Linked DNA regions of Schizosaccharomyces pombe. Changing the gene in region 3 together with the main gene of any one other region gives a genetic interaction. Each region holds a gene or a part of one and is shown on either strand. Other genes may lie near its edges.

Region 1 (7,696 bases), on a different chromosome or scaffold from region 3:
ACTATAGATTATCAGATTATTAAGGGAAGAGAGATTTGAAATAACATAAATTATTTGATATATTAAATTACCGCTCAAGTCAATCACCTCATGGTTTTTATGTTATTAAATAATTATTTTGTTTGACTTTAGGAATTATAAAAAATCACCTTTTTACTTCAGTTTGATTTTAATCGTTGCATATACGTAAAGTAATGTACTTAGAAAAATTTAAGTCCATAATATATGTCGCTAATTTCCCCTTTTTTCTTTTTTAAAAAAGAATAAAATAAAAAAAAAGGTACTAGTAAATTAGCAGTATAAGGTTTTTTGGATTATTATTTACGATCATTTAAGTTAATGAACCAACTCCATGAATAAGTTAAAATTATTTTAATAAAGTGAAAATAAAGGTAATGTTTTTTTTTTTTAGGGATAATTCAAAACACATAATTATTCATGGTAATAAAGGCATCGGTCATTCTTTGTTTTTATATTTCATTTTGTACCCATTTTATGCTTAAAATCCCACGGTTCTAATGTTTGCACGGAGAACACTTTCTTGCAAACTAATCCTAGAGATTTAATAACACGGAATTTCAAGAAAAATATAATTTTGGTTTTCCATAGACTTACTACCTAAATTCAAAGGATCCTGGTTTCCTGCTGATTCATTATTTACCATTTCACAGACTCCATTGTTTGAAGATACTGTTACCTGATCAATCGTTACTTGTGTGTTCATCGATGACAAACTATATGAAAACTACCAATATTCGCAAAATGTCAGGATCGAAGTGCTGTTCGTCTTCAAACACCATAAAGGTGTCCATTTACCTATTTTTACACACGTTAACTTATGGCTTGCTAAATTATCACCTCAATCCACGATTATTAGCTTCCACGGGGGTGGTGGAAAGTGATATTCCTTACTGGATGGTATGCAGATCATTATATAAGTTTAGATTTACTAACAATGGATTGAAAGAGTTATTTATCAATTATTATGCACGTTGGTCAATCTCTTCTGTTGCAGAAATTCAACCTAGGTTATGGATGGCTTTTACTTACGAAATATCCAGTATACGTGCTTCTCTCGACCTACTACCTTACTCCTTTGAGTCAAATTGCTTGGGCATTCATAATTGACGCCATTTCTTTGCTAGTGGCGCGCTGTTTCTCTAGAGCTAACCCCATCAAATGTTCAAACCAAGTCAACACACAGTATAGTGTCTCTTTCCTATTCACAATTATGGCGAGTGTATTGATCAGCGTGCTTAATTATATATCACAAAAGATATTCTTAAACGGTCTTATTCTTGGAAACTCCCATAACGTTGTTACTAGTCTCGTTGCCCCTCCGCTCCCGTTACAATATCTTGCCCATGTACCAATTGGTTACGTTATTCAAAGAGTCGTGTTTAGTGAAAGGCCTATTCCCCAATCATTATTTTTGATGATTTTCCTTACTCTGTGGAATTGCTTTATTCCTTATTCAATTTTGTTTTCAATGAATTGGTCCGCCATGTTCCAAGTGGTGGGTGCTTACTTGTCACAAATTTGGATTATCACTTTTATCTGCTGGGCATTGTCTCTGTAAAGTTCGAGTTCTGTTTCTTTTACATCATTTTTTTTCTTGTAATGTAGTTAGTTGGTTGTTTACTTCCTGGTGGAAGTTCTCATGGGCTTATCTTAATTCATTGTATCTGTTATGGGATTTTCCAAATTTGTCTATATGTCTTTACTCGTGTTCAATAATTTCAGTGAGGTAACGTCAAACTTTTTTCATCAGGTTAATGCCCTTTTTCTTCTCTTTTTCATTTTTCGTTTTCACGGTGGAATTTATTTCTGATGAAGGAGGCAGATTTCTTCTTTCTGAGTTGAACATCATGTGTGGAACTGACTATGAATATATGTAATTTAATGACTGTGGTTTCAAATTGATTCCGAACTCTTTTAAAAGATATCCATTGTGGGATGTTTCGTCCTTTATTCTCATCTATTAGGGTCGCATAGTTTGAATTGGATGATCGTTCAAAAGCAGTATATGGTTATACTTTAAGCAAATGTGAGAAGTCTTTTCGCTGTATATTTTTCCCTCTCGTGATATGAAAAAACAGTTGTTAAGTTCCACTAGTACTATTATATATCATCTGTGGGGCCTTTATATTTACATGACATGTATTTTAAGTGAAAAATCTTTATGCATATCAGAGTACTGTTGTTATTTGGAATCTACCTATACTTACACTTTTGCATAATGTTACGATCTGGCGTTTATTCTGTGCTTTTAATACTTTAGGCAAGTCGCGCTTGCAACCAATCCATGTAGGAAAATATAGAAAATAAACAATTTCTGTTTATTACTAAGCTTCGTTAAGATTTTGCCGTTCTTCTGTTTAGGTATTGTAATTACTTGTAAGTTGCACCGTTCACGAGTGCCAAAAAAAATACTCAATAATCTGACTATAAAGTGTTTAAAGGTATAAGATAATATACTAACCTAATTCATTATTTTAATTTCTAAATCTATTGCAAACTGGTAAACTTTCTTTCAATACCTGCCAATTCGATAATCGTAAAGGCATCTCGCGCATCAAGGAAAACATGAGGTTTAAAGGATCTAAAGCATCATGAAACTGAAATTTATCTTTATTCAACTAATAGAACCTATACTATTTGAAAGCTCAAATTCTACATTATACAGTTTTATAACGATAGTGCAGTAAATCCGATACAGTAGTCTGTTGTTCATGAACTCATTGTTGATCAACCTGTTCATAGCAAGTATGGCGCTAAAAATTAAAATACCAGAAACGTCTCAAGTAAGCTTTATTCCTTTAATTTTTACTTACAACTAGTCTTCTGATGAATATTCACGATGGACGGTTTACCATATTGAAGTAGCATTTCCGAATGGTGGGAAACATGTTGTATTTCGTCGGTTCAATGAATTCGTTGCTTTGGATGCTCAAATTCGGCCAAATGACTACAACAGTAGACTTTGCAAACTCCCCTCTAAATCTTGGGTTTCTTCAACTGTGACAAATGAAAAGTTACGTGAATCTCGACGACTTGCTTTACAAGCTTACGTTCAATGCCTTTCAGAAACGCCATGGATAAAAATGCCTGTGGTTAAAAAATTTCTAAATATTAAAGATGAATCGGAAGATGAAACACAGGGTCAGTTTTTGGGTCCGACAGATTGGATTCAAGTATTTCAAGATTGTAAACGTAATTTACATATGTACCGAGTTGACTTAATGAGTGGAAAAAGCATTACGATAGGAGTTCAAACAAAGAATGTCTATGCAATAAAGTCGCTAATGGATAACCTTTCAGAATCGTTAGACAAATTAGAATTAGCAAATGCTCTTGGTCCAGGAGAAATCCTTCGACGAAAAGATATGTTAGAACAGCTTGGTTCTGAATTCTTGTCATTTAAACGGTTAGTTAAAAATGCAAACAGCCCAGTCGCTCCTCCTTCTGCCTCATCTCAATTAAACTCTTCTAATCCTAGTTCTCCCTTTCGCCCATTATCTGCATCTACTGACAAACAATCTAATACCTCTTTGAACAGAGTCCTTGGAAAAAACAGAATGCCAGAGACACAGACAACAAAAAAGCTTGATAATGTAGGACTGTACAACATGCAGAATCAAACTATGGAAGATCAAGATATGCAAGCAGAATCGTTATTGCCTATTATTCAAAGGCAGAAGGAGCTTTCGAAAATGATTAATCAAGAAGTTGTCGAGCAAAACTCCATGTTAGACGAGCTTTCTAATGAAGCATATGCAAACCAAAAAAAGCTACACAGAACACGAGCTGGCCTTCGCAAATTGGGTTAATATTTGGGTGTTTATGAGTATTTGATTTAATTTCACGAAATTTAATGGAATCTTCTTTTGCAGTTTTGTCTTGTTTTCTATCCAATTCTGCTACATTAGTGATTGTCTTGGATGAGATTATCTGGGCTAAAAATATTTATTATTTGGTGTATTTGCGTTCTTTCCTTTTTTTTTTTTTTTGTTTAATCTTCTTGAAGATACCGCAGTAACCTCTGTGAGTTATATAGGCATGGTTAGTTCGTCCGTCAAGGTTGAAATAATTGTCTCCTTTAATTAAGCTTGATATTAATATACGACTTGTTTAAATTTCAACTTGTTTTGACAGACCCCATTTCTTTTGTATTTTGGTTTGGCTTGTAGTTCCTTTTAATGCATTTAGTGTACTGTGCTTAAGCTCGCTTTCTTTAGATTTTACTTATTGACAGACTTAGACAACTGAAATTCCAATAATGGAATTAACGCAAGAGAATACTGAGGAAAATGAAAAAACTCATGTAGAATCAATTGTAAAATTTGAGGATTCGAATAGAGGCACCATTACTGATTTTCATATCGAGACAGCTAACAATGAGGAAGAGAAAGACGCCAACGTAATTCTCAATAAATCTGTTAAAATGGAGGTTGAAGAAGTCAACGGTCACGTTGATTCTTCCTCAACGGAAACAGACATAGAAATGCAAGTCATTCAACAGCCTACAATACCCAAAAAACCACCCGTATCAGCTCATAGAAGGGGTCCACGAAAACACCGAGGAAATGCGAATAGCCAACTCAATCTGTCTACAGCCGATCATCAAAGACCATTGTATTGTATATGCCAAAAGCCTGATGATGGATCATGGATGTTAGGATGTGATGGTTGCGAAGATTGGTTTCATGGCACTTGCGTTAATATACCTGAATCTTATAATGATTTAACTGTACAGTACTTTTGTCCTAAATGCACAGAAGAAGGAAAGGGTATAACTACTTGGAAAAGAAAATGCCGGTTACGAGAATGCTCGAATCCCACAAGACCTAATTCCAACTATTGTAGTGATAAACATGGAGTCGATTTTTTTCGAGAAAAAGTAAAGCTGAGTACGGTTGAACCTTCTGCTATAAAAAATCTTGTATTGTTTGCAAAAAAAAGGGAAGAATTTCAAAATTTGGGTACGGTGGGACCGACATTGCCAAGCCAAGTTCCTCCTGAAGTTGTGTACAATTTTGAAATTGAGGAGGCCAATAGGCTGAACGCAGAAATTGTGCAATTAAATAAAGAGAAAGAAGTAGCATCTAACAAAAAAATATTTCTTCAGTTGATCAAAGATTCTTCGCGGAGAGCGGTTCTTGCTTACAAAGAAAGAGAAGGTATTAAGAAAGATCTGTGTGGATTCGATTCTCGACTTTTATTCAATCAACAACAAATGAATGAATTGTGGGAAAAAGTTTCAAATGGAGCACCGCTATCTCTTGACATGAGTATAGATCCTTCTCCTGAGTCCACCTGCTTTACAGAGAAGCGAAGATGTGCAAAGCACACAAGCTGGCAGGTAATTTTTACCGAAGATTTTGAGTTGCAAGAAAGTAATATTTTACAAAAACTAAACATGAAGCAAACTGCCAAAGATGTAATGTTGGAGCATCAAAAACAGAGGTGCCTACCCGGGATACAATACGACGGTTATGCTCGATTTTGTCATGAACAGTTATCTCCCGAAAAAATGGCTAATTTATTAAAATAAACAGAAGGATGCATCTTTTGGTTTAATTTACAATTTTGAAGTTTGCTTTAATTTCTAGATCATTTCATGTAAATCACGAGGCATTGATTCGCAAATGTTAATGAAAGAAAAGTTTATATTGCTTGGCATTTGTCTCTTAATTTTGGCTTTAAATTTATTGACTCCCTGTTTCGCAAAATAATGTTGACAGATGGTAATTTGGTTTTTCCTTCTAAAAAGTCACTTTTTAACATAAGGACATACATTCTACACCCTCTCTTTTTATCAACTCATGTCTTAATGGCCTTGAGGTTTTCTCTCTCTTTTGTTTTGAAATTTATTTTATTTTATTTTTTGGAAAACGCAGGCTCCTTGGATTTCACTAATCCTTCTTATTCCAGAAGCTAACGTCACAATGAGACAGAGGATTTCGTGGAGCTATAGAAAGCCAACTTTCTGACATTCCCATTGTTCTTTTTCAAACGAGCACTATGACTTTGGCATCCACCATGCCAATTATTTATTCGGCATCTGATGCCGCAAAATGGAAAGTTGCAGTATCTCCTTACCTGTATCAACTGAGCAATTTGAAGTTACTGTTTACTGGAAAGTTGAATTTTGCAGATTTTTATTATAATACGAATCCATTTGTTGTAGGACTACTTCTCTCATTTATTTTGGGAAATGTGCTTTGGGGAGTGTCTGTTTGGACGAAAAATACATCGCAAGTGGATCGGCTATGGCCAATTCTGCCAACGGCTTTTTCCTTGCATTTTCTGTTTTATGGTTTGGGATACAACATTGCTTCGCGAAGATTAATGATTATGGCATTTTTGCAGACTCTATGGTCCGCGCGTCTTACTTACAATTATTACCGTAAAGGAGGTTATAATCGAGGAGCAGAGGACTATCGTTGGGTGAGAGTTCGCCAAATCATGCCTAAATGGATATATCCATTATTCCACTATTTTTACATTCATATCTTTCAAGTGCTCCACCTATATTTGCTTGCATCTCCCACGTATATTGCCATGTTGGCTGGAAACGAACGAGCATTTGGAGCATGGGATTGGATAGCACTCGAGCTTTTCATGTTTATGTTTGTGCTAGAAATGCTAGCCGACCAACAGCAATGGGATTACTATGAAGCGCGAAATCATTACAATGTCGACAAAACCGTGCCACCTCGGTTTAAGTATGACTTGTTGTCGCTTGGACGTGGTTTCAATGCTACAGGGCTCTTCCGATGGAGTCGCCATCCCAACTTTTTAGCAGAACAACTTATTTGGCTTTCATTTTATCTATTTGGAGCGATCGCTTCAGAATCACTATTGAATTGGACGATTTTTGCATGGCTTGGACTAGTGGGCGTTTTTCAAGGCTCGACCAGACTTACCGAAAAGATGTCCTGTGAAAAATATCCGTTATATCGAGTGTATCAAGATAAAGTCGGCCGCTTTTTTCCTCGATTAGATGGTAGTCATTGGGATATTGTGGATGACGATGCATCATTAAAGGAGGATTAATGGAGAAACAAAATGTTCCTCTATTAGTGATCCATGGATCTCGTTTCATTTTCATTTGTCAATTGGTGTAACAAAACCTTTTGACGTTTTACCCCCTCTCTAAAATTTGGTTCACTGTAATTTATTTATGTATTATTATCTTGTGTATCTATCTTAGTCTATTTATCCAATGTTTTGTCGATGAGTTATGCAAGCTTTATTTATGCAACTGATCCGTGAATTTTTTTCCATGCTGATTTGTGAATTCTTCATCCATGTTATAATATGTGGTGGCTTTGTTTATAGTATTGCTAATGTCTATTAGGACACAGAACAGAAAAAAAAATTTGTTTTTATTTTTTGAAACAATCCATTTTATGAAATCTCAAACTCAACTGAACTTCGTCTCTTTGTCTTCAAACTATGTGCGGCCTTCAAACCATCTATCAAAAGTGTTTGCTTCCTTAAACTGAATGTTAAATTTTTTTAAAATCTTATCTTTTCACTGTGGAGAAAAAGAGGGAGGGAAAAGGGAGGCGAAACCAACCCAATTCTTTTCCGTAAACTCATTCATTCACTGGAACGTACATCCGTAAATTCATTCAAGTGTTTATTATTATTTTCTTTTTTTCATTTGTCTTTGTTTTTCTGACATTTT
Region 2 (8,026 bases), on a different chromosome or scaffold from region 3:
AAAACTTAGCAACATATTCAGGAAGAAGAGCAGCATATTTTAGTCCTTGAGGACTTAAGCTTGAGTCACCACCTATTTTTCCTTCAACATTAAATTGACTTTCACCATGTCGGCTTAGCCAAATACTTCGTCGACGCGTACGCAAATTAGAGAGATAATAAACAATCCTAGATTCAAGGTAATTTTCAAGTTTATGAACTATCAGTTCGGCTCCAAAGTCCACAATTCTAACGAAAGTACATTCTTCAGCCTCGGACAAAGGTGTGTAGTGTTTCTCATACTCATGAATACTATCAAGGATTTTATTCTTCGATTCTTCGAACGGAAAGCTTTTGAAATATGGTGAATGCTGACACATATCAGTAATGTTTTCATCGATAATTTTTTGATTTGTGCAGACAACCTCGACAAACATTAAGAGCATATTCCGCGCTTTTGCCAACTCCACTATACTTTTCCGAAACTTTAGTGTACATTGGTTAAAATCAAGAATCGCAACATCAGTACCCTTTTTAAAAACGCTCTCCAGATTATCGAATATGGGGCTAAGAGTTTTAGCTAAATTCTCTGAATCACTGTTAGAATTTTCGGACAACGAATTATCAATTTCTTTCGTATCATAAAGGTGAGTAGAAACGGACATCCATGTCAAATATCTGGATAATTTCATTGCAGAAGATGTCTTGCCAGATGCGGGTAACCCCACAAAGCAAACACATAGGCCCAAAAGTCCTTCAATGTCTTTCATGTTCGATCTTAATGTAAAAAAGTTAGTTCTTAATTTAAATTTTGGGTGTGGTTATGTTGCAAACAAATATTAAAGAATAAATCATAAGAATATGACCAGGTTGCTAATCCTGCCAGAATCGGGTTGAATTATTAAGTGAATATGTTAAATAATGAATATATGTTAAAGAGTCGTATTTCGCTCGAAATGTATGATTCGCCTTGAAGAGCTTGATGGACGGTTTGCAGTACTCGTACTTATGTTAAGTATCCTTAGAGTATGTAGTGAACTCGTCAATGCGTTAAAAAGCTATAATTTTTAAAAAGAAAAACGATTAAATTAATAATATTTAACAGAACGGCTTAAAATATACAAGTTCAGAACATTGCACTCCTGCTAACATAAACAAGAGGGGTATACGTGTAAGTTCAAGCTTAATATACTAAATTGCAGGTCTTCGTTACGCAGTATTATTGCGAGAGATGTTTACGCTTCCGTAAGCTACATTAAGTGATCTCAAGTCTTTGACTTGGTACTAGGAGTAGTTAAATCCACTATTAAAATAATATTCAAAATTAAGTGTGAGCATTTCCATTTCTATAAGCATAATTATGCTAAGCTGATTGTAAAAGTGTATATAATCATTTTCGTAATATTGTGGAGTTTTCATACAAAAACTGTCGGGTAAGGCATAACTTCATCATTTTTTCAGTAATGTGAATTGTGAATTAAGATTCTGGATTGGAAGTATTAGAAAACGTTGCTGAACTGTATGATCTTTTAAAAAATTCATTTTTATAACATGTTCATTGAAAATATTAAACCAGAATGCCCCTAAATTGGAAGAAGTATGTATCCTAAATATTGAACATGAACAACACTTATGAAATTGAAAGAAAGCTTGGCTTTTTCATATATTTCATTTACTGTTTAAAACCGAGTAAAACTTGAGTCAAAAGCCTCAGTGATTCAATGGTCAAAGTTGCCCAATATTTAACACTGACTTAATAAAAGTTAGAAATATTAATTTTGTCTGCTATATTTTTTTCGTGTGTTATCCATACTACAATAGTTTGTTAAGGGCTCTAACAATTATGAAAATCTTAAATTACTAATTGATATTGGTAGGAAGCTTGGAGCAATTAAAGAAAATAAAGTTACAATTACCAATCACGTAAAATGATCTGAATTAGTCACTTGATAAAGTTGGGTAGCATCGCTTTGTTCAGTAGCAAGATTGACATCTATGAAGTCTAATGAAATAAAGAGTGAACTTCGAGTGTTCAAAGAGCGTTTTCTGCTAATTAAGAGTTATAGCAATACTGTTCTTTAGTTATTGAAATGCACAGTTAGACACTTTTTTTGAAAGAGCCGGAACGCAAAAAACGAAACACTTTAAGAGTAATATTTCGGAAATGATTACGAAACGAAAACCAACCTCCCTTAGCATACGTTGGTAGTACTAGACGAGGCCAATTAACGTATTGTCTACGATGAAAATATAGGTAGATTCCAGCATTCACCATAGGGATAGAATATAACAGACGACAGAACAGACTTGGATTTCCAAATAATTCTTGTATAGTTAATATTATCGTGGTGAACAAAAAAATTCCAGGTGCCACAAATCTAGTCCAGTGAAAACGCAAAGGCAAGTCCGGAATCGAAAGTGAGTCGTAAGGACGAAATACTCCAAGACCCAAATCATAGCTATCTTGCAGCATACCGTCAAAAAAATTGTTAAGAATATATCTACGAAAGCAGTTTAATAAATCTTTGAAAGCTCCAAAAATGGTTCTCGTTCCATGGCGAGTCACATCGCCTTTTAAGGCCGGGGTACCAGTGTAGAGATCACTGATATAATCTCCAGTATTAGCCCATATTAAGCGAAAATCTTGTAAAAAACTATCATATTCTTCCAAACTCTCAGAGCTAGAAAGTACACCAATATCGTGTAATTGCATGTTTAGAATAAACTGTGCAATGCTAGTCTGAATGACGTTCGTCCGATCTAAGCAATCCATACAATTTGTCCTTACAAAGTTGGTTTGCATTGCAGTAGTTTTAGATCCATGCTCGGCATAATATTTTCCTTCTATCAAGAGACTTTGAATTTCAGCAAGAAACAAAGGGAGATTTCTACTTCCTTGCTTATGATAATCGTAGTAAACATAAGACAAAGGAGGGTTTTTATTTCGTTTACATAATTTTTCAAACCCAGACCGTAGAGGTGCTTCACGTCCTTTTTGGTCTAGAAGATTGACCACCACAAGATTGTCCCCATAATCGTTGGCAAGTTCTTGAAAATGCTTCCCAAACACAGTCTCGCTATAATCAAGAGGTTGTAAAGATAATAAAGGTCGATAATGAAGATCATTAACTTCGGCCCAGAACATGGGGATACTTCCTCGAATTTGAGTAAAAGAAAGAACCATTTGTTCTTCAAGGGTGATGGGTGATTCGATCATTATTATTTGTTCAATTTCATTAAAATTAGCAGCACTTCCTTGTGCGTTTACACCTCTGGTGAAATACCGCGTACCCGCATAGTCAGGAGAATGTCGTGTAATAACACACAGTCTAAGGTTATAAGTCTTTAAAAACGAGTTAGTAATGGCGATATTACCCTGAATCATCGGTTGAATCCATTCTTGAAAGCCTAAATCCTTATTCGTCAATTCAATTAATTCATGAAATGCATATTTATTCCAAAAAAAGCGGTAATTATATTTTGATGTCAGTTCAAAAGATTGGGTTAGTACGCGTAATCTTTGAAGGGAACAGGTTAGATCTAACGTTGGACTAAAAAGTATTTGGCCTTTTGACAAATGTTTATTGAGCAAACTGATATAATGTAGTTCTTCCTCATCTTTAATATTTAGCAGACCCGTGGAGAATGGAAGAGTCCTTGTAATTGGGAAGATAGCAAATTTCCTTGCCCGATAAATATTGTTTCCGAGAATTGCTGCATGCAAATCACAACTTGTAACAAGAACTACATATTTGTATATTTTCAATCGAATAAATCCATATAACTGAACGTTATTATAGTCAGGTGTCTTGCTGAGATCAAGAGAATTGCTCAAACTAAGGCATCCGTCGACTCTATCTATTCGAAGAGAAGCTTTTTTTTTGGAACATGATAGATAAATGCTGTCTGGAAATACTCTAACGTCCTGATTCATTATTTTGTTGTATTTGAGAAGCGTAGATGCTTTTCTGCTATAATGAACCCCGGACTAATGTATTTTCCAAATTAGGTCTCAAAAGTAAAAAATGAGAATGCTATATTTACAAAAATTCAAATCAAACTCTTTAATGTCCATGAAACGATTTTTGAAGGCTTGATTTCCAACGCAGCGCCTGAGTAACGAGTTCATTGTTACCTGAAGGTTTATGCAGCACGTTTTACAAAACGAACTTTCAGTGACAGTGTAATGTATGATATTATTAACAATTCTCATTGCACTATGTAATGATACGTAAAGTATCGCTATTCATTGTACCTTTGCTTTACAAGATAGGTCGTCTGGTGATGCTGATACTCCCCAATTACCTATATTAAGGCTGAACTACAAACTATAATTCGAAGAATAGGCAAACGAAAATCATAATACTGTATGATATTATTGATTTTGAGAGTAGCAAAAATAATTAATAATTCATCGTAGCGTTTTTCAGATATCACAGAAAACATACCATACTCTATCGCATAATCAAAATAGTTTACGAGCCTTCTTTGACTGCAAGTAACATATAGGCAATGTCGCTTTATATTTTGATACATAATTTCTATAAAAGTTAGGTGTTATATGATAACCAACTCTTCGAAAGGAAGCATATGTTTTGCTTTAATTAAGCTTTATTGATATTTTTACCGTTGTTAAATAATATATACTAAAGATCTGACCCAGTTGAATTTGCTATCTATGTTGTATTGCTTTTTACTAATACAACCGAACTGCCAATTTTTACATAAATATTTTATTAAATCGGATTGAGAAGTAAAAATTATAAAATCATACATTTAATAAAATCCTTTTTCAACACAAATAATCTCCATTGTTAATTAATTGCTTTAACCAACAACCTTGTTAAGCCTAATTTTGACCGCAGGAATTAAAAAAAAACACTAAATAAAAACAAGATAATTAAGAAACCAACATCTGCGAAACATAAAACTCGGTGGAAAATAAATATGGTTAAACGACATAGACACAAAAACAATGGTAATGAGAGTAACGTGAGTATTAGTTCGATAAGCATGCATATGTAGCAATAGCAAGTGCTTAACACGTGCTAGCAAATTATGTGAATTGACATGACAAAAAATTCACGTCAATTGATGAATGCGTAAGGATCACCAGAAATCGCGTGAATACACACCAAGACTTGCTTAAGCAGCAATAGGTTGTGCACTAGTGCTAGGCATAGACGTTTCAGCAACGCCTTGAGATCCTACTTCTTCATCATCCTCCTCGCCAATTTCAAAGTTATCAACAACTTGGGTGCTTTGAAGAATGTTTGGTTGAAAACTAGGTTGATAATCTTCTGTACCCATTTGAGAATATCTTTTACTACCTGTAGAGGTGTAAGAGTGTGTAGTGCCGGAAGTAGTTACACCATTCGCATGAGAGTAACGGCGTGGAGGTTCATTGATTACATCTGTGCGAGGAACGACACTAGCTTGAAATTGTGTTTGATAATGACTTTGAGAAGGCAAACCATCAATGTCGGTAAGGGGTTCAGGAGTTTGGAAAGGATTTTGCCAATTAGCCAACTCACGTTCAGCCTCAACAATATAGTCACGGGTTATGTTGTAACCATCGTAAATAGGGCGAGGCTCACCGGGAACAATGGGAGTATCGTCCAGGAGATCGAGGATCTTCTTGGCATACCCGCAAAGAATAGCAACCTTTTCAGAATGCTCAAGTAATGTACCAATATGAAGAGTAAAAGCACGTTTAAAGTTTTCGCGGGTAATGTTAGTTAACTGCGCTTCTGCAACCAAACACGCAGCTTCCTCACGAACTAGTTCCTGTTCCATAGTAATAAGCTTTGGGGACTCAGGATCACGGCTTCTAACATCATAAATGGAGTTAAGTAGCTTTTCTTTCTTAACACGGGTGGGTTGAACGCTAGCCTCAATATCACGGATGGTCTTCAGACTAACACGATATTGATCGTATCTGTCTACCATATGCTCCTCAAGTTCGCCAATTTCATATAAAAGTACACCAAGCTTATCACTGATATCGCTAATATCATCATCGCAATCTTCACCCCAATACGAAAGTTGATTGGCACATTCTTTGCGCTCCATGGCAACGTTTTCATAAGATCGAAGTAAATCCTTTTCCATCTTAACGAGAGCTGCAAGGCGTTTAGCCATTTCGGGAGTAAACATACCCACAGATGGATAACGGAATTGTCTGCCGAGTTTATTAACATTTACTGCACGACGGGTAGTAGAGGGAGGAATTTGATTCTGTTTCGCTTTAGGAGGCGCGCGAAGCGTATGAATAGAGTAAGATGGTTGAGTGCCCATCATCTTGCTAATTACTTGATAAACGATTTAAGACTTTGAAAATATGTATATATAAAAAGAGAAAGGAAATACTAATAAAAAGGTTAGTATGTTAATTAGAGGTAGGTTGAAACAATGTTCATTAAAACATACTTAATCCGCCAACTCACACTAGACAAAGCGAAGTATAAATAAGGTCAGGCTCAAAATGGACTTATTAGACTACACTTTCGAAAGTAACAAAAGAGCTGTAAAGTTCAGGTAGATTTTTAGCGACTTGAACCCATGTTTTAAAGATTTGAGCTAGGCTTGAGACGTCACTATGTCAACATGGAATTTATATGTCGAAAGCATAATGTCATTATTGTCCGTACACTGAATGCGACACCTAAACAATTGAAAATTAATAAGGACTTGTCAATCAGCAAACATATAGATATCTTAATCATTTCCCTCCTCTATGACAATTAGCAATTTCATAAAAATGAACGAACAAAATAGCTTATGATACATTATGAAAAGATATGAGATCACAAATAAATCATTGAGAAACTTTTGACCAACACTCGACAAGTATTCATAGTTGTTTATGCAACGTAATGAATAGGTATAATAAATTAATAGATATGGGCAAAACAACCATCACTATGCTAAAAAATTCGTAACTGAAGCCACCATTTTTACCTAGGACTCACATTCCAAAATGGATCTCTTACGTCGTTGTGAGCTATTGGTAGGAATACTTTGATAATCCTGAATACCAGTAGATGTTAACTGAAAAGCCAACTCTGATTCTGCAGAATGAGCTGGTGGCTGCTTTGCCATGAATGCATAGCGCAGAAGCTGATGAGAGGGACGACTCTGTCCATCTTTTGATTCTTCAGTTGAATGCCTACTGTAAAGAATGAGCCGATAAGATAGATTATCTAACCAATTAGTGCTGAGAAGCGGTATCAACTTAGCACCTATCCCACTAACAACTTTTGAAGTCATCTGGGTGGTAACAAAGATAGCCACATAACAAGAGGATGTAATTTTGCTTAACAAAGAACTGATTGTACCGATTGCCTTTTTTCTGCGGTTTATTGTTGTTTTGGTAGAGGAGTTATGAAATGCAAAATTCGAGTCGTCTTTACTCGAGAACTCATTTTCTTTGTTTAACGTCAAAGTGTTTTCTTTTTGAGATGAATCTGAAAGGGAGCTTTTTTTGCTGGTATTACGACGAAGACGTAGATAAGCATAATCTTCTGGACTGGTTGGATATGCAAGTTGAATAGGCATTGATAGGTTGTCAATAATTAATAATCCAATTTCTTTAAGATGTTTTTCTTGATCGAAATTTCGTAAAAAAGCTAGAATATTCACTAAATTGGGTGCATATACAACATCGAGAAGATTTAATAACTCATCAGTATCGCATTTTTCCTCTTCATCTTGGGAAGAAGGGACGTGATTGTCTAATAGTTGACGAAGTCTCTCCATGGGAATTGGTTGACAAGTTTCGACCCAAATCACACGAGAACCGGAAAGAAGAGCGTTTGCAGTAATCTGTAAAGCCAAACTTGTTTTTCCCATCCCAGGTGCTCCACATACTTCAGAAATATACCCTCTTTTAAGACCACTTCCTCCAAACGCATCATCCAATAATTTTGAATTAAAGCCGAAACCTGGAGCAGAAAATGCTTCGTACGCACGAATAGCAGGTTGAGTCACTAGACGATCTAAAAAGTATTAGACACAGTTAGCTAGGCTGGAAGTCGCATACGTTGACT
Region 3 (9,742 bases):
TCACCCGCACACCTTCTGGAACTTTGATGCTTCCAAGGGCCTTTGAAACAGCATTCTGGTTTTCAACAAATACATATGCATAGTTAGTGGGGTTTACGTTTTGAGGAGCTTGGGGACTTTTGTAACGATTGAGTGAAGTACGAATTTGAATATTCGTAATCAGGCTGTCTGTCCCGTCCTTAAAGTAAGAACGGGCTTCCTCTTCAGAATTGCAAGGGGTAATATGAAATCCACAACGTTCATAACGCTGCTCACCACTATATTGACGGAATTCACGATCGTTGCCCTTCTGCATATCAGTTCTTCTACCTTCTTGTGCTTGAGATCTTGTAACATTTGCAGCATTCTCTTGTTCAAGTATGGTAACCTCTGTAGTCGTCTCACCTAGCTCGAGATTTCCAGTACCCTTAGTCACCTCTTCAACGTCAACTTCCTCTTTCCCTCCAATTGCTGGTTGTTCTTCTTCATTAGGACTAGGCTTCTCTGCTACGCCAGAAATGGGTTCTTCCTCGGCAGCAGGTGGTCCCGACTTCTCTTCGATTACTTCATGAGTCTCAGCCGACTCTTCTGTAGTATTCGCTCTTGACATTCCTAGCTCATCAGTATGTTCCTGATCGTACCCTTCAATCTGTTCTTCTTCGGTTGGTGTAGCCGTAGCTTCTCTGTTCTTGGTAAACTGTGCTTGAGATTCCACCAACCTATTGTTAGCGTAATAATAGGTACCGGTATTTTCCGAAGTTGAGCGTGGAATGTGAGATGCATAATTTTCGTTACGACGTGAAGCCATGCGACGATAGCCTAAATTAAAGCCATGAGATTTGCTTTCCACTTGAACATGCCCATTTTCGACGACAAAAACAGTCCATCCAAAGGAAGCATCTAATAAATTGAAGTTCCATAGGTTTTTAAAAGCAGTGCCGGGAAGCATGTTATTCATAGCATATGAGTTAGTTGCATCGGGCATGCGAGAGACTAGGCGAACAACATTGTTTATTAGATGATGTTGTTCAGGGGTAACCATCTTCTCAACCTCAGCCTTAACAGTGTCATACACTTCCATAAACTGTGCACGGGCAGCCGAAAGTTTTTGAAGATAATGTTCAGGACTATGATTTACGCAAAACTCATTGTAGCTAGCTCCATAACGAAAATGAAGACCGGCGGATAAAGTCAGGTCAGCCTGGCAAGCAGTAGCTAATTGAGAAAGAACACCTTCTCTTCCAATGGGATGATGCGTAATAAAAATACGTGCCTCCTCTCTGTCAAGCAGGCTCTTAGCGGTTTCTATTAGTTCACCCATTTGAAGGATTGTAGTCCACATAGTACCCTGGCCACCAGCAATAGTTCCTTTACCGTCTCCATTGTCAAAAAGCTTAAAAGGGACATAAGGACCTCCAAGACCAAGTAAACGGATTTTCATATCTCCAATTTGCAATAGGTAGGAATGAAGTTCGTCCACTATGTTAAGGTTTGGAATAGAATATTCTCCAGAACGAAATTTTTCCAAAACGTGCACATCTTCGCAAGCTCCCCATACTACATATACAGGGACTGAGAATTTCTTCTCTTGTGACAAAAATTGAGGTAATTCTGAAAGCAGGCAATCGGGGTGAGAAGCAATACTATTCTTCAAATCCCCAATTGGATTCGAGGGATAATAATCAAAGTTTTTGGACCTAGGAAGCTTTTTTATGAGAGGCGAGAATTGGACAATGTGACGAAGAGTACTGAAAAAAGGTTAGAACAAAGAAAAATGAAACATAAAAATTTTTGACACAAAACATACCGTTCAGATATGCTAGGAAGTGAGGATCGCTCAAAAAATCCAAAGTCACCAGTGTGGATGACACAGGAGGCATTGGTTTCCTCAACCAGGCTATTTATTAAACTCAGTTCACCTGAAGGGATAGTTATTAGTAAAAACGCGTATTAAAGAGTAGTAATTTTAAGGATAGGAATAGCTAAGGAGAATAAAGTGTATGGACAAAATTCTTTTACGAACCAACGAGGATCTTTAATGACAAAATGAGTAAATTGAGCAATTGCGCTTCAACTCCTGCTAAGCCATTATGGATAAGTTCATGCAAAAGCATACAAATTCGCATCTTCTTATCTTAAAAAGTAAAACGATCGTCGATAATTCCCCCGATGGGGTGCTTTTGAATTCTCGCTGGCAGCTCTAAATCCATAAACAACGCATACTTACCTCGAACATCGGCAATACATAAGATCCTGGATTTATTATCCAATGTGAGTACTTGAGCTGAAACATCCAACGTGGAATTATTCTCGGAATCTGAGTACGTTTTAGAGGATTTATTTTCCAGCGTCCCAGTTGAAGGTTCCGCTTGAATATCACTTTTAGCCGTCTTTTATGTAATTAGTTTAAAATTTTTGCAAAGATTCATTAGATCTATACTTACATCCACGCTCATTATATCGTAAAAATCTAATGAAACGGATAAAACAGTAAATGGTGTTGAGTAAGGGTTTTGTGATGATGCCTCAGTTTCGGCACTGTACTACTTCCTACTACAATAAGAGAATGTTGCTTCGTAATGTTATAACTTAGATCCACCACAAACGAAGTAAAGTAAATTAAATATATAAATACACAAAAAGCAGCAGTTAATAGATAGTTTTTGAAATTTTTAACGTGACAATTGTATTTCTGTAGTATAAAACTCCACAAAAAATAAAAATAAAAATAAAATTTAGTATATATTAATATATATATTTATATATAAATATGAAAAAAAAAGGTGCTTCAATGAAGGATTACAAAATTCTTGAGAAAGCTCGGTAATCGGGACGGCAGAGTTTATTAGGGTATATGTTAAATGTTGCAGCTTTGGAATGGAATTGTTAACTTATTTTACACATACTATGACTTAAGTTTGCCTCGTGTACAGTAGATGATGCTACAGTCTGAAGTATATTTCAATTTCGTTATATCGTTTTTCCAGGTTGAGATTTGAATACTAGTTGCAGTGCGAAATTTACAACATTTGAAGTATGTAAATGTTCTGTTTATTTGGCAAATTGAATAAAATAAGACTGTTAGCAATTTTTTCGGTTTTTTTCTATGTACAACAATACTCTTTTGTGTTATTAAATAATGCTCGTTTACTATAACTTAAACTCGTTTGTACGCTGTATTCTTACTACTAAGTATTGTCAAGATTTGGAAGCAAGGGCATCGCCCCATCAACTAGGTCATATAGTATTCGCGTGCTTCAAGTAGCACAGCAGCACATTCCCACCACCGAGTGGAATTCGAAGTTGTGTGCAGTGGTATAAATTTTGGAGAAGTGTAAGTTGTATATAATTCAAGAATGAAGAGATTTATGTAATGATTGATACAATCGGAGCTGTCGATGCATACATTCTATTAAATGACGGATGGACGAATTGTTTACATGGCTATTTGTTAGACATTCTTGTCTATGGCTGTTGCAAGTTCTTCATTTTTCTTAGATTCTCTTCCTCAAATACTTGTTGCATCTTGTTTATTCGTTTGCGTTCCGAATTTGCTAATTTTACATTCAAGAATATCGCGGCAACTGTTAGTCTGCCTAAATATTGTTTTAATTTCATTTTCTGCGTTTTCAATTACTTTTATATTTAAAAAGGTTTAACAATTACTGAATTGAGTGGTTATTTGGGAAGCCGTGTTCGAACAGCGTTCAAAATTGATGTCAGCCTTAGACCGTTGTTGATTGCGAATCAAAATGGATTGGGTTGCATTGTCGAAAAGCTGTAAAACTCATTTGTTAGATGAAGGCCTTGACGTGTCTTCAATACATTGTTTTGATCAGTATTTGATAGTAGGCCAATGTTCCGGCCAAGTCATGGTATTTGACGTTTCTACAGACAATCATTTCACTTTGATCCAAACATTTATAGCACACAAACATTCCGTTTCTTCTATAGTTTGCCTTCCATTTGAAGCTGATGGAATTGTAGACCTATCAATCATTACACTCGACGAATCTGGGTATGTTGAGCAACTCTCATTAGCCGAGCAGCAATTATCAAATTCATTATTTAACTTATTTCTTGCTAACATTTTCTCAGATTACTTTGTCAATGGCTACTGAAAACATGTGACCGACGAGCTACTTTGCAATTGTGTGACGGGCTATGTTTAAAGCTATTTAGATTAAATAACAACTTTCTTGCTGTTACCGGAACCTTTTTGAAAATATATCTCATTAGAATCTCCAACTTTCAGATAGTTGCGACTTGGACTGGTCATGAGGACTGGCCTATTTTGTTTCCGTTCAAAGACGAAGCTTTATTAATCCCTGTCGCCTATTCAGATGGATCTGTATCTCTTTGGTCAGTTGATTGGTCAGCTCTTACTTTTAAAAGAAATTCAGTTACAAAAGCAGATGTTAAACCAACTTTTGGTAAGGTTATTGATGTTGTACCAGCAGATTGCATTTCTTCCAATTATGCGCTATATGTATACTCGGATGCGGTAGTACTATTGGAATCGCATGAGAAATTTATAGCTTCATATTCACTTGCAGAGATAACATCTGTATTTGTTTTGGCTGATGGCACGGCTTGTATTTTTACTCTTTCGTCTTCAACTTTACTCAAACTTCATCAATCTCCTGAACCTCATTTCGAATTAATTTCTAAGTATTCTGGAGATTTTCCATGGAAATCGTGCACCATTTTAAAAAGTAAACCCGTTAGTTTGTGTGTTTATCCCGAAAAAATAACTTTCAATTGGTTAACAGAAGGAACCGTAGACTCATGCAATCTTTGTAAGTTGAGCAATACAGCTGCTGTTTCCTACGCTTATACGGACTCTCTTAATTTATTCCTTGGAACAACCTCTGGTTTAGTGATGTTTTCTTTGTTTGACTGGTACCTTCACAATGATCCAGCTCCTCTTTACTCTTTTACAAGGGTTTCTGGAATTGTAACATATATGAAAATATTTGAAACTGAACATTCACGCTCAATTTTAGTTGTTGCTACCAAAACTGGAAAGGCTTACTTTTATCAACAACTTCAGGGTGAAAGATGGAGATTTCTCTGCGAGCGTGCTTTGCAATCTTCTTCAATTACTAAAATTATTCATGCAAAGAAATCATTATCTTCTGGTTCATCAGGCTTATTTATTTTTATGAGTTTAGATGGCTCATTGTGTGCCTTGGATGAATCTTATAATCTGTAAGTTATCAGTGTGTTATCAGTTATTAATCGACTTTTATAGTCTAAGCTACTTGCCATCTGATGGTGCTCAAGTTGAAACTTTGTACTCATTTCCCGATTTAGATCAAATCTATGTTGCTTATGACAATTTTCAACTATTAAATTGGGACGTTGTGGATCAAAAATGTTCTGAAGGAAATTATTCAGATATTATTGACTCTTCGTTCATATCTATTGGTACTTTTGATAAATCTAACCTCCCTACTTTGTATCATGGTTCTTGTGCTTTACTCACCGATAATTTGGTTACTGTTTTTTTAGACGCTCATGATTTAGTACTGAACCTCAATTTTTCTAATGAAAATTACATAGAAAAAACGTATATTGACGAGTTCCTTGACTTTATCCAACCTCCTTTCCTAAACTCTGATATAGAGATGGAGCATCAGTTGTTAGGTACTGTTTTTGATCAATCCAGTTTGCATCTTGGTGTGGGTAAGCCAGATGGAAATGCCATACTTCGATTTGACACCGAAATGAAGTCAATAATAAATACTGCACCAAATTGTTCCGCTTTGCTGTTATATCTATATTTTTCTCTAATGGTTCCTTTATGTAAATATGATGGGCTGAGCGATACCAAATTGACTGAAGGAATATTATTAAAGTTAAAAGACCTGAAAACGGTTGATTACAGTATTTCCGTTCTTTCATACGTCTGGAATAATTCAGGCAAGGTTATGCAGGGTATAATTAAATCAATGTTGTCGAGAACATTGGAACTTATATCTCCAGAGGAACTTCAGAGGCTTATATATTATTATTTTGAGTTTTTTACGACTACAGGTGGAGAGTACTATCTGAAAAAGGAGGTGCAACATTCACTGTACATCTTGTCATTAATTGTCAGTTTACGGCCTTCAGCATTTGATGTTTCACAATTGAAATTTTTGTCTTCCTATTTATTACAAAAATCCGAAAGTATGGACTATGACTTAACAGCAATTCGCCTGTTGAGTAATGGTTTTTCCGTGTTTTCAAAACATATTGATCCTGCAAAGTTTATATACAACCTGGTTTTGTCATCCTTAGAGAATACTAAGGATTTGGATGATAAAAATAGCATTCTCTATAGATCAATAGTGGATGTCTCAGTTTCGAATGCTGTTTTACTGCTTACATGTTTATGCGATGAAGTTTATGAGCAAATGAAATCAAATTTACGTTCCGTTATACTAAAAGTTGTGTCTTTGGCAATTGAAAACACACAATCCGAATTTTCTTTATTTAATCAATTGATCACGGAAAAATTACTTCCAATCCTTTACTCTAGCCGCTCGGTTGAAGAAGTTCACGACGTTACTAACGCAATTGCAACCCAATTTCCATTTGCATGTTTTGATAGTAAGGTGGAAAAATATTCCTACATTGACGATGGTGATCTTGTGGTTTATGAAATAGCTAAAAGAAGGAAAGTCGTCAGCAAGGAAAACGCCGAATGTGATATTCAGGTATTGTCCGCCAGTCCTTCTGGTGACTATTTTGTTGGAGTCAGTGCTACGCAAAAGGAATGCATTATTTGGAAATACAGCCAAGATTTCGTAAAATTCTTGAACTTATCAACACCTTCATTAACGATCCGAAAACGTATATTATTACAAACTAACAAAACGAATGAGGTTGAAATTCCTGAAGTCCTATGGATTAGCCAGTCATCAGCAGAAGTCCATATTGGGAGCACCTTTGCTATCATTGACTTGTAGGTGGATTATGAATAAATTTTATCCATGCCACTAAATAGACGAGCCAATTTTTGTATTGGAAGTGGGAAAAACCTCAGTAGAGGCATAAAACGTGCGTAAAATGGATAGTAAAAACGACCCGATTTGTTTGTATATAAGTTTTGAATAATAATTTTTGCTAAGTTTTGAGGTTCTAGTAGAGGGGCTAATACTCTGTTTGGGGTATCTTTTTCGAACATTGTAGATTTAATTTGCCCTAAAACATAAAGAGAAAACTTGAAGTTGGGATGCTGTGATAAAACCTCTTCCTCTAATGTTTCATGTAGCGAAACTAGTGCCGCTTTTGAAGATGAATAGGCACCTGTTAATCACGTTAGAAAGGAAAAGCAAATTTTATAAAATCAACCCCACTTACCGACTCCCATCGCACTAAAATAAGCCAAGGAGGATGCTATGTTGACCACATGAGGATTTGGATCTTGTAAAAGGAGAGGAAATAATGCAGATGTAATTGCCAGCTGTCCGATCACATTTGTTTCAAAGCATCTAAATTAAGCAGTTAGAAAATAAGGCTTACTACGCTTAACCTGTACTTACTTTTGTAATTCTTGTCTTGATATAGACAGCAAATGATTTTTTGGAGCAATAGCTGCAGCATTGATCAGAGCAAAAGGGGTCCTGTTCATCTTTTTCAAAGAATGGACACATCCTTCTACGTCCTTATCTTTGGTAATATTACATTTCAAAGCACTAAATTTAGAATTGTACTGTAGAAAAGATGCAGGCTCAGTACTGTCCAAAGAGGCGACGCTGAAGCCTCTATCCAACGCCTCTTGAATAATAGCATGACCAAGAATCCCACTTCCTCCTGTTATCACAATCAGTCCTTTAGCACATGAATAGGATTGTTTCCTGAAAAGTAGAGGAAACCAAGAAAGGGTTAAGGCAGCACAAACAAGCGAAATCACCAATAATAATATATGATTCAACATCAGGGAATGACTTCTGTGAAAAATATGATAAGTTGCTGAATGGAAACTTGGCAGAAAGTCGTTAACATTAGCAGCGAACTCTTTTGTGTTTCGAATAAGTTAACGTCCAAGTTCTGATCGTCTAAAGACCCTAATATCGTATTTGACGAAGTCAAGGAGAGAACCTTAGTAGATGCTGCCAAACAAAAGCTATTTCCTAGTGTAAGCAAAAATCACGCGTAGTAGAATAATTCATTAAATCGTTGAACACTGCTTTTATAAACTTATATAATAAAGTTTTGATCAGTATCGCCAATGTTGTATTGAACTTGTTAACTAAATTATTCAATCCGTACTACGAAAAATGGAATGCCCATCCTGATCTTAACTTGATTAGTCTTATAGAGTCAAAGATAAGTGATGGTTTTTTTTTTAAAATATTACGCCTATCATAAAAAGAAGCATTAAAAAATGCGATTAAGAATTGCGTCTTCAATTTCCTTATATATTGAAACATAGTACACACTATACCTTCCCTTCATCTTCGACTAGTTGTTTTTAAAATATTTGAAAGTTTGAGCGTGCTCAGTTTTCTATGTTGCATATAGATCAAAGGAACATATGTATGTTAGTAAATATCATTGCATTCAACTATGCTATTAATTAATGTTTATTAAATGATCCCAACGCATGTTGATGTTGTATTTTGCATTTGGTAACCCGCAGTTGGAATTTTCAGGCATCTACGTACAAAGTAAATAAAGTGCAAAAGGGTCAGCTCATTAGTTTTACGGGTCCTCAATTCGATGTTGCAGATTTTACAAGTTTTTAAAATGTATTTCATTATTACTTTTTATATGCCTAATAAAAAAGCCATAGTTTAATCTATAGATAACTTTTTTTCCAGTGCACTAACGGACGTTACATTCCCATACAAAACTGCGTAGTTAAAGCTAAGGAAAAGTTAATATCATGTTAATTAAATACGCTATTTACAATAAGACATTGAACTCATTTATATCGTTGAATATGAATAACCAATTTCAGCGAATTTTTAACAAACATCGTTCACCTCGTTTAAGGATATCTTGTGTATGGGGTGTTGACTTGCTTTATCGAATAATTACCGTACCTGTAATTGGCTTGCTGGATATAGCGGTAGTCTAATATCTAGCAAAAATCTTTTGGGTGAAAAGGCTTGCAATTTCACGACACCGAACTATTTGTCATTTTTTAATAAGGAAGTTTTCCATAAATTCCTGTAATTCTCGGTTGATCTAATTGAAAAGAGTAGTTTTGCATCACGATGAGGAGGGCTTTTGTAGAAAGAAATACGAACGAAACGAAAATCAGCGTTGCCATCGCTTTGGACAAAGCTCCCTTACCTGAAGAGTCGAATTTTATTGATGAACTTATAACTTCCAAGCATGCAAACCAAAAGGGAGAACAAGTAATCCAAGTAGACACGGGAATTGGATTCTTGGATCACATGTATCATGCACTGGCTAAACATGCAGGCTGGAGCTTACGACTTTACTCAAGAGGTGATTTAATCATCGATGATCATCACACTGCAGAAGATACTGCTATTGCACTTGGTATTGCATTCAAGCAGGCTATGGGTAACTTTGCCGGCGTTAAAAGATTTGGACATGCTTATTGTCCACTTGACGAAGCTCTTTCTAGAAGCGTAGTTGACTTGTCGGGACGGCCCTATGCTGTTATCGATTTGGGATTAAAGCGTGAAAAGGTTGGGGAATTGTCCTGTGAAATGATCCCTCACTTACTATATTCCTTTTCGGTAGCAGCTGGAATTACTTTGCATGTTACCTGCTTATATGGTAGTAATGACCATCA
Region 4 (7,109 bases), 1.2 Mb from region 3:
TATTAACACATCGCTGTACTTTTAGTGTACTGCATTAAAAAGCACTGTTAGTTGCAGAAATGATTGCAAAACCAGAGGAAACAGACAAGCACTTACTATAATATTTGTAAGGATAAAACAGTTTCTATTAAATTAAAAGGACCAAATGAGGGAGAAAATTTATACAGCATATTAGGGCACATTAATATGAAGACGCCCAAGAAATATATAAGTGAACAGACATTTGATTCGATCTATATTTTTGCGTCCGCAAAATCTTAAAAAAAGTACTTTAAGTATACTTGATGTGTATCTTTTATAGGAATCGTGTATTTTTACTAGTGACTTAAAGTTTATCATCAGTTGCAACTCATACTAGCGTATGGCGCTTTACAATAAAAGAAGGTGATTAATTTGTTATAGGGTCAATTTTATATGGCAGTTGAAGTTTTCACTGGTGAAGTGAACTACCCTTCTAGATATTGCAAATATACGTCTTTCACTTTAGAAGCTTTAGGATAGAAGGTATCAATTGACATCTAATTATATAAAGCATCAATTTCATTAAAAAACGTTTAACACCGAATCATAAAACATCAAAGAGAAAACATACAATAAAATATCAAAGTATCAATAAAAAGCGAATAAGAAAGCAAGATATTTGAATAAAAACATAAATTCAATGGAACTGATGAAATTCATATTCAGTACTCGCTTTTGACCATAAGCCTACTGTATCACGAAGTCGCTTTTTCAACTTAATAGTCTCAGCAGGACTAAACGTTATACCGTATCCCTTAAGATATTGGACACACTGTTCCTTTGACAATTCGTCAATGTCTTCGACTCTTTCTATCGGCGGTAATCCACTACTAACCGGCTCATTACCATTCAGAAATGGTACTGGTGACGCCAAATAACCTTGGTCTGAACGAGTTGCATTTTCAAGCTTTCTTGTCAACATGATCGACCTACATGAGCGAGCATCAATTGTTTCCATTTTCTGATCCATTGAGTCAAGTCGCTGCTCCATAGAGTCAAATCGTTGGTCAATAGAATTAAATCGCTGCTCTATTGACTGAAACCTTGCTTCAGTTTTTTGTTCGAGTAAATCAATTCTAGTGTTCAAACGGATCGTTTCCCTTTTCATTTCAACCATTTCAACTTTCATTTCGGCCATTTCGCCTTTCATAGATGTCATCTCATTCTGCATAGCGTCAAACCGAGAATTCATGTCATTTTGCATTGAGTCCATTTTAGAAAATATTCGTTCGAAAATTCCACCTAGTTTAGTGTTTGCCCATTCATCTATCCAGCGTGGAAATTGTACTTCTCCCGATTGTTCTTCAGAAATTTCCCTTTCAATCGCTAACTTTTTCCATCCTTGTAGCCTTTCATTGCATTCAATTTCATATTTCATTTTACGATCTCATTCCTCAATATATTTTTTTCAAGTGCTTCTCTTTTGTTTTCGTCAATTTCTAACAATGTAGAATCTACAGATCTCTCGTATCTTTCAATGAAAATTTTTAAATCTTCCGCAGAATCATTTGGTGGTGGCAGATTGTAGTCATTATCAAAATTCTCGTTCGACATCATCCTTATTATTTATACAAAACCAGTTGCAATAAACCGCAGTATTCTTTTTAACGATAAAATTTCAATTCACTATAACTATACAAATGATATCTTTTGTAGCCTGCCTTATATGTTTACTAATTGACAAATATTTCTCAGAAAGGGAAATCTTGGAAAATAAAAGTACAAACGTGTGTTGAAAGCAATATTTAATATATGTGTTGTAAGTAAATTCAAATCTCTCAAGTTCCCCTTATATACAACTTTAAACAAAGAATGCTAAGGACAAAGAAAAGAGTTTTTGATGGATTAAGAAACAAGGTAACCTAAGTAACTTCACACTGGGAGTACGTGATACAGATAATGAAAATGGGCTTTATCTGTAAAATAAAAGAAAAATGGCTTATTTGCAGGTAACTTATTACAAAGTTAGATTTATTGAATAGAGGAGTATTTGTTTAAAAACAAACTTCGATTGCAAACATGCATAACAAAGTTAATAGAAAAACATTTCTTTATCCTGCTTTATTGTATTCCTCTTAAGGGATTCTCAACAGCTCTAAATAATCACGAAATATTTAAAGAAAAGGTATATTACTCATTCAAGCTATTAATTGTAAATAATATAACCCATAGCTACAACAAATGCGTTAAGAGGATATAATGTTAGCTACGCAAGTATTTAATTTAACGATACGTAGAACTACGGTGTTTTCCTAGTGATCTATTATATTGTAATTCGCAAGTAATATATAAGTAGCAATTGAGATTGGTATTCTAATATATGGGTTATATTGTTGAATAGATGAATGAGCAAATACAAGACTTGAAAAGTCCTTCAATGATATATTTCTGGTATAGAGTGTTGGCGAAACGACATGAATTCTGAGTTTGACGCTACGCAGAATGAGATTGCATCCATTAAGTTGAAATAACTACTATGAAAGGTGAAATGACTATCATTGGCAGAAAATGAACATTAGTTTTATACGTTGACATTCTTACGGCACTTTTTATTTACAATTTTGCTTACTACTAGTCATCCCGTTTTAACTTTGTTCTTAGGAGTTAATTTATTTTACTTTATTCATTTATTTTTTTATTTTTTTTGAAACTCGTATTATCGTTCAATTTCAGAACATCTTTACTGCTTTGCCTGCCCGGTTGACAAATAAATACGATTTCAAACGAACAATTAGTTTATTATATAATTTTTTACGTAAGTATATGCCATAGTTTATAGTAATACAAGGGAAGCAAAAACAAAGTCTCAATGCGGTGAGTAGTATATAGTAATTCCTGCTTCAGACAAGTCATTAAAACACACATTTGCACTCCGTACACATTTCTCAACACGCCGAATAGTTTCTTTTCATAATCCCCAACATATAACATCACAAGATTTCGTCTAGCATTCTTACCAAAACTCGTACTGTAAATGTTACAGTGAGTGATAGCCGTTAGCTAAGATGACCTGCTGAGACTAAACAAAATCATGAGAAAACGAATAATGTATTTTATATACCTAATATTTAAGAGGGAATCTTGGAGAAAACTGGGTAGTTTGAGAATAATAAATGTTCTTTTCCATCTTTACAAATGAGACGAAGATTTTTGCTCTACCCAAACTAATTAATCTGTTGTTTCAAAATCATTTTAAGTATAGGCTATAATGTAAAACATTGATATTATACAAGAAGTATTTATTACTTATGCTTATGATTTCGTTTGCGATGCTAACAGCAGTGTGTCGTAAGAAACTCACCATCAGCATAAAACAAGATGGCTTTGACTCCAGACACTGTTTCTTCAAAGTTGGCTACTCTAAATGAAACACAAGAAAGTATAACGGGAATAGCGCATTGGGTTATGTTTCACAAGCGTTATGCTGATGAAATTGTCCAAATATGGCTGGAAGCTTTGTATGAATGTATGACTCCTTTAGGAATTTGTTCGATTGTCTAACTAATTTAACCAGCTTCTTCCAACAAAAAGCTTTTATTGCTTTACCTGCTCAACGAAGTCGTTCAACAATCCCGGGTCAAAAAAATATCTGAATATATTGATGCCGTTTCTCCAGTAAGTTACTATCATTATGAGCTTGGAACATCTCCTATATGGTTTAGATTCTAATAATATTTGCATAGTATGTCGTAAACTCTGTAGCTGACGCGTACGCGTCAGTTCCTGCTTCCATTAAAACAAAAATCAAATACGTTTTTGACGTTTGGTGTCAACGCGGCATATTTTCTAAGGAGATACTTTTATCCTTGCAGGAAAGGTTTAATAATGCCGAGAACAGTGGCCATTCTAACTATTACCCCGTTGGCCCTCCGGAATGGGTATGCCGCAATTCAAATAAAATATCAGAACTTTACTAATTGCATAGGCACCTTACACTCGTTTAATGACACAAACTAGTTTATACGCAAAATCTGCTCACTCTACCAAAACTGTGGTAGATGCATTGTATAAATCATACTTGGAGAAACAATCAGATTATTCTGAACTACTCGATAATTATAAAAAGCAACTAAATAAAGCCTCTGAATCATGTAAAGGTAATTATCAGGCTTGCATCGAATCCCGATCCACACTCATTACTTCCTTGGAATCGCTTATAGAAGAACAAAAAAAGCTACTTTCAGAGGAAGAAGAGAGCCTAAAATCTGTTGAATCCATAATTTCTAATTTAGAGAATAAGGAAAGTACAACAGCTACCTCTACCTTGACCGATGCAGGTTTTGGAGATAAAAGTTCTACTGCTGGCAAACATAATGTAGAAACAACATCACCTCCGTCTAGTTCTCCAAACAGTGATGATGCTTATTCTCCTCAAGTAGATTCTTACTCTCCAAGCATTAACAGCGTACCATATACTTCCAATATTGTCGAAAATCCATCTGAAGACAATCTCTCTCCTCTTCCTCCTCCTGCCAGTGGACCCTATTCCCAAGAAGAAGAAGAAACATCATTATTTAAAAGCCAGAGAAAAGAAGAAAATGAAGAGGAATCTAAAGAATTACCAGAAGACTCAGATATCTATGGAAAAGATAGTTCTCCCTCTTCGGACGACTCTAGTGCAGCTGGTCTATATGGTGATAGCTGAAATCCATGAAATGTAATGCTTAGTTTTCATTATTTTTCTTTTTTTTTTTAAACTGTCAATCAATGTGGCAGTCTTAGTCAATAAGCATTTTTAGAATACCTATCCTAACCTTTTATATGCGTCAGTACCTGACTTCATCCTATCGAAGCCGTTTTTGGAATTTTGTATATTTCGAAGAAAGTTGAGCCCTATCTAGGAAGAATGGGCTTTTAATGTCTGAAAAAAAACATTCTTGCGAAGAAAAATCGCTGCAACTATATCCTCTTTCAAATAAAATTCGTCATGTAAATCCGAATATTTCAGCTCTTCCGTCTGAGACTGATATATCTGAATCATTGACGAACGATTTAACTAAACTAGAAATTTCTAACTATGCTCCATTTAATAGAGATTTAGAGACTTTTTCCGATTTAATTTTTGGCTTAACTAATATACAAAAAAAATCATTGTATTCTCTTCAATTAGGCAGAAGTAGAGGATATGCTTTATATTCAGACGAGAATGAGAAATATTTGTGGTCTATAAATACTAAAATCACCTCTACGGAACAAAGGGAAGTACTGCTTGTCAAATCTAATAATAAGAAGTTTGATACTTCCATCGTCCTAAAACATACTCACTTATCATCCAAGTCTCAAAACGAAAAAAAAGCTAGAGTAAAAGTATTTCGGCAAGAAATTTGGGCCCTCAAAACTTTGTCGCATCCATGTGTTGTGCAGCTATTAAATTACTACGTTTCCTCCGCCGAATTAATACTCGTAGAGAATTATTGTATGGGAGGAGATCTCTATCATTACACTAAAAAACATCATTCGGATTTCAGCCTTGAATTTGTTGGGCGAATTTTTTCTGAGTTAGTACATACAGTTGCTTACCTTCATTCCAAATGTTTGATTCATAGAGATTTAAAACTTGAAAGTAAGCTCGATGAATAAGGATTTTCAACTTTTACAGTTATGATTTTAAACTAACACTTTGTCTTTAGATATATTGCTTACCCAACCTTATAATGTTATAAAGACGATTGATAATTGGAAGAACTACCCAAATGCTTTAATTCAGATTTCTGACTTTGAGCTTTCTATTTTTGTTGACAGTAAAAATCATTTAGTGCAATCCAGCTGCGGCAGCCAAGAATATGCACCACCGGAAGTTTATATGGGTATTGCACATGATGGATTTCGCGCGGACGCTTGGTCTCTCGGAATAGTTTTATTTGCACTATTAGAGGGTCGTCTTCCCTTTGACTCCTACCCAACTTTGGATCCTGAGAATGTAAGGATCAAACGTTATGTTCAAAGGCTTGTAAGATGTGATTATACATGGCACTTATGCAAATCGCCATTCAAAAGATCTACTGGAAATACTAATGATAACGACGATCCTTCATGGCGGTTCCGCTTATTTGTGAAAAAACTTCTCAAAAATAGAGACCAGCGCAGCACACCGACTGAATTGTTAAAAGATTTTAATAAACATGGCAACTTTACTTTACCGTTATTAGAGAACGTTACGATTTAGAGACCTTTAATGATAAATGTCTTACTTCAATGGATTATGTCTGTACCTAATTATTTTGATAACGCGCTTTTAATTTCAATAGAAAATTAGTAGCAGATTTTTACAAAAACTATTCATCGTTTTAATCCAATCCTAGTAGAAAAATGAAACTCACTTAAATTTTAATCATCATCCCAATGAGGGTTGGGGCCAGGTGGTTTTGGACCTCCAGCTGGTTTAGACATAACAACTTGATCAACGTTTAAAACAGTGAGTACAGTTTCAGTTGCTAATCTAATTGCTGATTTTTTTGCTAATAAAACATCAAATATACCAGCTTCTTTCGCATCTAATGTTCCATCATTTTCACATTCAACATCAACTCCAATTGATTCACCGTTTTCCTTATGATGGGCAGCATAAAGTTTGCTAATAACATCAGTAGGATCTAATCCAGCGTTTTCTGAAATAGTCCTAGGAACAACCTCAAATGCTTCTCCATACTGTTTGATTGCATGTTGATATATACCAGGAGTTTTTTCACCAACTGAAATTAGACGAATACAGAGTTGCATATCACTAGCTCCAGCACCAAAGATTAAACGGTTATCTTTGACCAAAGCTTTTACGATATTTACACCATCATCAATCGCTCTTTCCAAATCATCCAAGTATGTCTTAGTAGCCCCTCGAAGCACGATTGTTGCAGTACGTGTAATATCCTCAACTTGACGGAATACAGTGACACGATCACCACCAATCTCAATCGTCTCAACAACATCGACGGATCCCATCTCTTCAGGCATGGGAACACCCATACGAGCCAACGGGGTAGCGCCAACCACCCGACATAAGCGACGTAATTCAAATTTGCTTGGCACACGAATAACAAGGATTTCAAATCTATTCAAATAATGTAAAACTAAGTCATTGACATTGCCAC

The links.
Region 1: mutations in wdr7 (region 3) and spf1 together harm fitness more than expected from each alone (negative genetic interaction), as found in Schizosaccharomyces pombe (2 studies listed by BioGRID).
Region 2: mutations in wdr7 (region 3) and sac12 together harm fitness more than expected from each alone (negative genetic interaction), as found in Schizosaccharomyces pombe (2 studies listed by BioGRID).
Region 4: mutations in wdr7 (region 3) and rhn1 together harm fitness more than expected from each alone (negative genetic interaction), as found in Schizosaccharomyces pombe (2 studies listed by BioGRID).

The regions. Positions count from the first base shown.
Region 1 is NC_003421.2:362,062-369,757, reverse strand, and holds spf1 (Set1C PHD finger subunit Spf1), read left to right. Parts: upstream 1-4,275; 5' UTR 4,276-4,279; coding exon 4,280-5,554; 3' UTR 5,555-5,998; downstream 5,999-7,696. Other genes in the region: bouquet formation protein Bqt3, read left to right, coding at 763-918, 968-1,579; vsl1 (SNARE protein Vam7), read left to right, coding at 2,769-2,804, 2,841-3,830; SPOM_SPCC594.04C (steroid oxidoreductase superfamily protein), read left to right, coding at 6,025-7,059. UniProt on the Schizosaccharomyces pombe protein: The Set1 complex specifically methylates 'Lys-4' of histone H3.
Region 2 is NC_003424.3:2,059,730-2,067,755, forward strand, and holds sac12 (inositol polyphosphate phosphatase), read right to left. Parts: upstream 4,054-8,026; 5' UTR 3,913-4,053; coding exon 2,077-3,912; 3' UTR 1,844-2,076; downstream 1-1,843. Other genes in the region: fpb26 (fructose-2,6-bisphosphate 2-phosphatase), read right to left, coding at 1-748; eisosome BAR domain-containing protein Pil2, read right to left, coding at 5,124-6,275; rad55 (DNA recombination mediator, RecA family ATPase Rad55/Rhp55), read right to left, coding at 6,939-7,975, 8,020-8,026.
Region 3 is NC_003423.3:2,266,766-2,276,507, reverse strand, and holds wdr7 (WDR7-like protein), read left to right. Parts: upstream 1-3,255; 5' UTR 3,256-3,313; intron 3,314-3,550; 5' UTR 3,551-3,731; coding exon 3,732-3,997; intron 3,998-4,077; coding exon 4,078-5,190; exon of another isoform or gene 5,191-5,233; coding exon 5,234-6,935; 3' UTR 6,936-6,940; downstream 6,941-9,742. Other genes in the region: SPOM_SPBC16H5.12C (uncharacterized protein), read right to left, coding at 1-1,727, 1,787-1,898, 2,207-2,369, 2,424-2,435; SPOM_SPBC16H5.14C (DHRS family dehydrogenase), read right to left, coding at 6,941-7,275, 7,330-7,460, 7,512-7,906; imidazoleglycerol-phosphate dehydratase His5, read left to right, coding at 9,192-9,742.
Region 4 is NC_003423.3:1,032,199-1,039,307, forward strand, and holds rhn1 (RNA polymerase II transcription termination factor), read left to right. Parts: upstream 1-3,323; 5' UTR 3,324-3,339; coding exon 3,340-3,487; exon of another isoform or gene 3,488-3,535; coding exon 3,536-3,636; exon of another isoform or gene 3,637-3,704; coding exon 3,705-3,899; intron 3,900-3,946; coding exon 3,947-4,666; downstream 4,667-7,109. Other genes in the region: serine/threonine protein kinase Ppk27, read left to right, coding at 4,879-5,584, 5,652-6,187; chaperonin-containing T-complex theta subunit Cct8, read right to left, coding at 6,349-7,109.